Oryzias latipes: one gene and its partner. The protein of the gene in region 2 purifies or fractionates together with the protein of the main gene of each other region. This does not show direct contact. Links are inferred from orthologs where the notes say so. Each region holds a gene or a part of one and is shown on either strand. Other genes may lie near its edges.

Region 1 (4,347 bases), on a different chromosome or scaffold from region 2:
CCAGTGAGGGGGGAGGCATGCAGGGGACCCATGATTCCAGAGCACAGGGCTCCAAGATCAACAGCGCCCCCGTGTGGCTAGGAGGGGATAAACCAACGCAGGATACCAGGAACTGCTGTTGAGATGTGGACAGATAAACCGAAAGGAATATTTTGATATATTTGCTCTTTAAGATAAAAAATATTAATAAATCTGCAGTGAATTCATTTTGTTACTAATATTTGATGAAAACATATATCCTACAATAATTGAGCCAAATAAAAAACTATGGGTTTTATTTTTTAAGATAATAACATAAAGATGTTGAATTAGTCATCAGTGACTCGGTCATCACCATTTTTTATCCAGGATGTATTTCCTTGCCCGAAGAATTTTTTTTTGTGTTTTACTTCTTTTGCTGTTAAAATCAATAAAATAAAGTTGAAATCTGTGATATTAAATCGTTAAAATGTGGCTGGATGGTAACTGGAGAAACCCCTCTCTATCATTAGGATCTTAAGAAAAACTGTACAAAAACTGTGGTGTTATATGTTAAAGACAGGTAATAAAGTATTGTTTTATTGGAGAAATGAACCGTGGTTAAGGTTCTCAATCTGAAATGACGTTAAATGTTTGGCTTTCATAAGATATGAGGTTAAAAGGAAGTCATAGAAGTGGAGCTTTTAGGACCAAGTTTCAGGAATTTCTCCAAACCTCCACATGTAACAACTTTTAACAACTGAAAGGAAAATTTTTCAATCTACGTGTTGTCCTTTTTCGTTAGATCAACAGCCTGAATTGTACGAAAAAAATGTAGAATAAAAAAATGATCAAAGCACTATTTTTCTTATCAATAAAATATTTTAGTTTTATTTTAACCTAAGCAAGGATCAATATTCAGGGGAAAAAATAAGTAGCACTTGTGCAAAAATGTGTTTGGTTATAAACATATAATCGTAGGTTAGTTGTTGTGCATTGTGTTGTGTGTCGTTATTGTAAAGAAGTTATAACAAAAATGTCTAGAAAACTATACAGGCTTCTCTGTTGAGGGCAGCATATACAACATATCCAACTTTATTTAGAAAGCACCTTTTTATATTAAAGTGGTGCAAAGTGCTTAAAACATTTTAAGAAAAAACAAGTAAAACTATTTTTGTTTTAATATGTAATTGATGTCCACAAAACTGATTTTAAATATCAAAAAGGAATATGCAGACTTTGCGTAGTTTTGCATTTTAAATAAATGCAGAAAAAATACAGCAAAAACAACCTTAGGTCAAATATTAATTATTTGTTAAATGTCAGCGTGTTTAAATAATTTTTCAAAAACATGGAAACAGTAAAAATATTGTTAATAAGTGCAGCTGAAAGTTATTAAATGCTGATAAAATACAGGATACACTTTAGGATTATTTATTTGTTGTCGAAACTACATTTTCCAGAAGAAGCTGGGACATTGCGTCACCGGAAAACGACAATTTCCTATAAATTCACTTCCGGTTACTGGCAGAGTCCTTTCCTGTCCACGGCCCGTTCGAAGATGGCGGTGCAAATCTCTAAGAAGAGGAAGGTTAGCGGGACTATATTTCTCTTTCATCGCTGAATATCACGAAAATAACATCATTCTATAAAGGATAAGACGTTTAATCCTCAGTCCCGGTGTTTACCCGGCCCGTTGTGGTTCCTTGCGAGGAGGATTATAGCAGATGCTGGAGCTGCGGCTTCCCTCATTTCGTTAGCTAGCATGGCTCTGTGAGCCGGGGACTGGACCGGTGAGCGGTCTGAACAGGTTCTAACCCGCACCGTAAAGTCAGGACGGCTGGTTTCCAGGCGGATAAACCAGAGTCTGCAAATAAAAAGAAGAATTTGATCTGTTTCGACAATATTTGTTATGTTAGCTTTGCTAGCATGCGAGTCAGTTAGCCACATGTACTCATACACTACAAAGATTAGGGGAATTAAATAACTATTTTTGGAGCCACAAATTCATCATCATGTTTAGGTATACATTAAAGCCAAGCAGAAATTAGGTAAAACTCATTTTTGTTAATAGTACTACTGACTCTTTAATTAGCCCATATTTTTTTACTTCAAATGCCTGATTGCTAGAATCAGATTTCATCATTTATATCAGGCTATTGATGGTAATTTAGGCTTACCTTAGTTTGTCATTTATATATTTTGCCTTTTCTTTCTCAGATTTATTGGGTTCAGGGTCACAGTTGGTAGTTTCTGTACCTTTTTATATAACATGGCAGAGGCACATTTTCTTTAAGATCTCATTTATTTGCACTGTCTACTAATATTCTGGCTTTGAATGACTTTGATAAACTGATGCTATCTTCTTCATTTCTGAGCACTTCGTGTCTGTCAAAACTCCCATGAATGAGCAGAACCTCCCTCTGGTGTCTTGAAACAGTTCGTCTCAGACGGTATTTTCAAAGCCGAGCTGAATGAGTTTCTGACTCGCGAACTGGCTGAAGATGGCTACTCCGGTGTGGAGGTGCGGGTGACTCCAACCAGGACCGAGATCATCATCCTGGCCACAAGGTGCGTGTTGGATCAATGTTTAAAACAATTTTGACTTTTACACTCCGAGCCTCTGCGTCAGGTTCAGAGGCAACTGTCTTAGCTATTAAATAAAGAACGCAGCAGTTTCTCACCCGTGATCTTAAATGTTTCCGTCTTGTTCAGGACTCAGAATGTTCTCGGAGAGAAGGGTCGTCGGATCAGAGAGCTGACCGCTGTGGTCCAGAAGAGGTTCGGTTTTCCTGAGGGCAGCGTGGAGGTGAGACAACCTACAGGATTTGCTGTTTAGATTCACTTTTGTAATCCCTAATCAGTGGGTTAGACAGTGTTATTATTATAGAAAGTCTTTAGCAGAAGTAATCGGCAGATCCTCCGGCTGAAATAACTGAGGATCGTTGTTGAAGTCACTCCTGTAGTTTGTTTTCCCACCCGATCCCCTTCAGTGATGATACGATGACGAGACAGAGCAGGACTTTATCTGGGTCTGTGAGTTCTGCTTCGGGTCTGCGTTCTGTGGACCCGCTGCCGTTCCTCAGATCAGGAAGTCCTTTAAACAGGAAGACAAGAGGCATTTGTCTGAGAAGGGTGGACGGACGGACCATCATTGAAGTCGTTTCTGTGCAAACCTGAAGATGCAGCGACGTCTTGTTCTGTTTTTTCTAGCTTTATGCTGAGAAAGTTGCCACTCGTGGGCTGTGCGCCATCGCTCAGGCTGAGTCTCTGCGCTACAAGCTGCTGGGAGGTCTGGCTGTGAGGAGGTAAGCAGTGCTGCTGATGACCTTCTCTGAAAGTACAAACCATCATAGAGCCTGTTTGAGAATGGAGGGAAAAAAGAACTGCACTAAAAAGTATATTTATAGTAAGAATAAACAAAACGCTTCCGTGAAAAAAATTAGTGCGGTTCAAATCTTGCCTGCAAACTTCATAATTGGATCTTCAAAATAAAAGACACATCTGCTTCTGCTCCAAACATCTGCTTGTGTTCTCCAAAACTCCATTTGATGGAAGTGGAGTCTTCAGGTTTACATCATCCTGTTACATCAGACAGAATTGTAAAAGCGCCCTGTAACCGCACTGCATTATGGGAGTCTGTTAGCAGTCTGAGGTGTTTCAGACTTCAGGTGTGGTGCTGTTGTGTTCTGGCTTTCTCCTCAAGCTGTCTTTGAGGTCATGAACAACCTGGAAAGTTTTGGGATTTAAAAAATGTAATTTCTAACCCTTGAAAGGTCTTTTGTAAGGTTTTGAAAAAGTCATGACATTTTAAAGATTTTGGGTTTATAAACATTTTAAAAAACACTTAAAGCTGAAATTCTAGTTGAAATTGTTTAACCTAACCTCAGAAGTTGAACCTCACATGATCGGTGAGCGACAGCTGCTGAGCGCTGCACAATCCAGTCAGAACTTTTGGAAAACTGGTCATGATGGCGTTACTATGGAAGCTTATTGCATTCCATAAAATAAAAACAGGTGAACTTTGTTCAAATCTTTTCTGTGATCTTTGTTCTAATATTTTTAAGAACTACAAAAGCAAAAAAACACCAAACAGGCTGGACTCTAACCTCGTCTGCTCGTGAAAACTATAAGAAAAGCCACAAAGTGTCTGTTTGTGCTCGTCACAATTCTGTTTTGCTCTTCCTACAAACATTACAGAGCAAAACGTTGGAAGTCTGAAGGATTGACCTGTATGAATTGGTTAGTTTGTGTCAATCCCAACAACAAAGCCCTGAATGATGCTCATGTTGTGGGTGTGGCCAACTTAACCTTTTTTTTTCTAGTTTTTGCTTTCATTTTTTCTGAAATCACTCATTTTTGGAGATAGAGATACGTCCACAACCTGCA
Region 2 (3,649 bases):
ACAGACTTTTCATGATTGTTGGAGCCCCTTCCAGCAAGCTGATTCAAAGAAAAACGATCAACTGGCTTGATTAGGACACTCAGGTGATCACACAAACACAATCAAGGACAGCAAAACACCCCTTTTGGGTGGTCCCCTGTGCTGAAACGAAGAGGTTGCTCAGTCCAACACCTCTGTATTGACCTGAGCTGCGATGCTGGCAGGTGTAACATTCAGGTGCAGGTCGTACTGTTGGTCCAGGCCCAGGTAGCTGTCACTCATCACATAAAGCGTGTAGATGTACCTGAGAACAGAGAGAAGATGCAGCATTGTCACATGATGAAGTCTACCCCTACGCTTAAAGCATCTAGAGCAGGGGTGACCACACTTTTTCGGCATGCAAGATATATATATATATACATTTTCTGTGAAATACTATACTACAAAATACACCCACAAAGATATGCACCATTTGCAAACACAAAAAAGTGGTTTTCCTGACAAATTAATTCAACCCCGTGTTGCAAAAATAAGTACACCCCAGTCAGTCTTAGGAGAAAAGCCAAATTTAAGACTTATAAAATTCAATTCTAACAGGCATTCAACCACAGGTGAGTCTAATGATTCATTTAAGGGGTGTCCAGCACACAGGTGACTATAAAAGAGCATTTCTTAAACAAAAACAAAAAACCCTTCCCATTTGCCTGCAGTGTTTGTGTGGGTCTGCTGTTGCTGCCCAGTACTTTACCTTCCAGGCTTCTCTGGTGTGTAAAAGGCCACAGATGCAACAGTTCGACTGCGCACATAACCAACTCGTTTGACAGCCAGCAGCTCTCTGCGATCCACCTCCCCCAGGACTAGAAACCAGCCCTCATCCTTCACCTTGGGAAAGCGAGGAGCCACAGCCTTTCCGTCCTGCTTTTTCTGCAAGGACAGACACAAATCACATAGAGGTATGAGTAAATTTATGGCATTATGAAACAATCCGTGTCATGTTCTTGTATCTTTTCCCCAGGATGTGTCAGGCCTATTTAATTAAAAGTCATATAGTTTTTAAAAATGCATTACCTTGAATTTTTTGTTAATATTTGGCTTTAAAGAGCCTAAATATGCAAAATCAGTGTCTTATAATGTTCATTCCTCACTAAGACAAGTCCAAAGCGGTTTTTTGATCCATTCATGCATTTCTGAGTGTTCTTCTAAAAACCTGCTCTCTTAGCACAAGCGCCTTCCAATCCACGAAAATGAGTGGGTCCTCAAACTGTGATGTCACAAAGTGAGGATGAGTCTGCAATACCAGCTCCGCCCACAGGCTAACACACACATCCACTTTGTCCGTGAAGGTAGCCAAAGGTAATATATGATCATATGTATGGCTATCGTTTACTCAGAAAGGTTTAAGAACAGCAGGATATAGTGGTCAAGGACACTTGCTGAGGAACCAAAATAATATTTCAGACCGTAGGAAGGGAGAGGGGGCTCTGTCTGTTTGTTTCTCCTTATCGAGGCATCTGCCAGTTTATGACTAGAGACAAAATATATATATATATATATATATATATATATATATATATATATATATATATATATATATATATATATATATATATATGAAAAATCATGAAAAACGCCAGAGGGGAGGGGTCAATCAGTCCAGTTCTTATCTACAGCCTACTACACATATTTCTGAGACTCCAATCTCATTAGCATGATCCAAACCTTCTCTAAAAACCCACACATACATGTCCAATGCAATAAAAAACCCGGATGATGTTTAGAGATCGGGTTTATTCATTTTGCAGATTTCTACAAAATCATCGGTAATCCTGTCTCCATGTCTGGATTCATGACATCACTCCCGCTGCAAGAGCTGCATCTGATCCTCAGCCACTTCCCATGTGTTTCCGTCTCTCTGTGACCCCGTTTGAAGGCTAACTGTCCCGCATTAATGCCAGAAGGGAGAAATAAAAACAAGAATAAAATTAGGGGACCCAGCAGGCTGCATCCTGCATGCCGCAGCTGCCTTCTTTCTTCCTGGGGGGCTGGTGTGGCGGACCCAATCGGTCCAGTCCCATGGGCCATGCAACAGACCGTCCAGGGTGTACCCGCCTTCACCCAACAGTAGCTGGGGGTGCGCTCCAGCAACCCTGTTGCCCCAAAAGGGAAACAGCAGGTTGAGAAAATGGCTGGAAGTTCAGGAGAACTATTGGATCGATCCACCATACATGATTTGTATTCTACCCGCTGATCGAGTCACTGAAAACGTCATGTTGAGTCCAACCTTTCTGCCCAAATCGCACGGCTACCAGACCGCCCAGCCATGCCCGTTGCTCAAATCACGCCACACAACCTCAGATTGCGTACGTACTATTGACTTAAAATTGGAGCTCTCTTGCCAAGTCACGTTTGGGGAGATCGCAGCATTAAAAGGTCACGCTCCGAAATCACAATTAATAATTTCTCCTCCGTGATCAAGTCAGTTGGTACTTCCGTGAATTAAAAGAGACGCCATCCATACGCCACTTCCGAATCCAAGCCCCTGATGGGTTAAAGTTCAACTGGTTTCACTTCCAACACGCAAACAGGTATGTTTGGTATGTGGAGCCCAAAAACGGTTGTAGAAACTTGTGTAGCAACACACAATCGCGAGAGTTTTGAACGCCGAAGCCCGAAGCGAGTATCTGCATGTTTCTATTGACTTCATTGGAAAGTAGTCTCTTAAACGTGCATTGCTGAGGTCGGTGTGAAGGTAGCTTCAGCGTTAGCCGGTTAGTGCGCAATCTTACAGTTGAATGAGAGCTGTAACAGCTCCCATGCAAACGCTCAGAGAAGGAGCAGAAGCTAACCGTGTCCACAGGGCTTCTGCTGAGACTGCAGAGGAGGTCAAAGGTGCTGGGGCACCAGGCACACTAACCTTCTGCTGGCCCACGGTTATCCGATGCAGGCACACCTGTAGGACGTATTCCTGGTCAGCATGGATGTCCAACCAGTTCCTATCCTCACGCAGATTCTTGCTGACTATGTGGACCGGGCGCTCCATCTGTTCCTGGTTCTCCTCCCACCAGCCCTTCACACTCATTCTGACCTCCAGCATGGGGAGGTGACTCAGGAAGGCCCATGTCTGTCAGGAGAAAGGTGAGGTTCTTAGAGCTGTGTGTTCATACCGGCCCTGTAAACTGAAGCAGACGTATTGAACAGTGAATAGTCTCACCTGTGCAGCCTGGCTGGAGTGGATCTCTGAGCTGACCATGGCCGTGAAAACACTTTCGTTTCCATTGCAAGCAGCGATCAATTCAGGAAGTCCCTGGATTGTTCCAGTGAAGCCCTCCTCCTCACCTCTTCTGTTCTTTTTTGTCCATTTCCTATAGAATTGTTTAGAAAAGGAGTTTGTAGAATGTTTTCCACTAAACAAAAATTATTTTTTTTGGCAGCCCCTCTCCAATACCGCCCCTCACTTCACCCTTACTAATCTTTCTTGCTTCCTATGTGGTGTAATTATAGAATTATAATGATTATAAAAGGAGATGAGGTTGAATTTTGTTTTAAAGATCTAATTTTGATGTTGTTAAAGCCTAAATGTGTTAATATCTAAATCTAAACATTAGGGGTGTGAAAATATTTTTTTTAATTAAACCTTTATTTACCCAGGAATTGTCCCATTGAGATTAAG

Evidence for each region.
Region 1: the proteins of ascc3 (region 2) and rps3 purify together in Homo sapiens (co-immunoprecipitation; 4 studies listed by BioGRID and IntAct, with this or other methods). This does not show direct contact. The link is inferred for Oryzias latipes from reciprocal best matches to the Homo sapiens genes ASCC3 and RPS3.

What each region holds. Positions count from the first base shown.
Region 1 is NC_019871.2:2,443,396-2,447,742, forward strand, and holds the start of rps3 (40S ribosomal protein S3), read left to right. Parts: upstream 1-1,436; 5' UTR 1,437-1,519; coding exon 1,520-1,549; intron 1,550-2,398; coding exon 2,399-2,529; intron 2,530-2,673; coding exon 2,674-2,767; intron 2,768-2,945; exon of another isoform or gene 2,946-3,093; intron 3,094-3,171; coding exon 3,172-3,266; intron 3,267-4,347. Other genes in the region: ras-related protein ORAB-1-like, read left to right, coding at 1-122. UniProt on the Homo sapiens protein: Component of the small ribosomal subunit. The ribosome is a large ribonucleoprotein complex responsible for the synthesis of proteins in the cell. Has endonuclease activity and plays a role in repair of damaged DNA.
Region 2 is NC_019874.2:9,654,240-9,657,888, forward strand, and holds part of ascc3 (activating signal cointegrator 1 complex subunit 3), read right to left. Parts: intron 3,342-3,649; coding exon 3,191-3,341; intron 3,101-3,190; coding exon 2,894-3,100; intron 904-2,893; coding exon 728-903; intron 284-727; coding exon 160-283; 3' UTR 1-159. UniProt on the Homo sapiens protein: ATPase involved both in DNA repair and rescue of stalled ribosomes. 3'-5' DNA helicase involved in repair of alkylated DNA: promotes DNA unwinding to generate single-stranded substrate needed for ALKBH3, enabling ALKBH3 to process alkylated N3-methylcytosine (3mC) within double-stranded regions.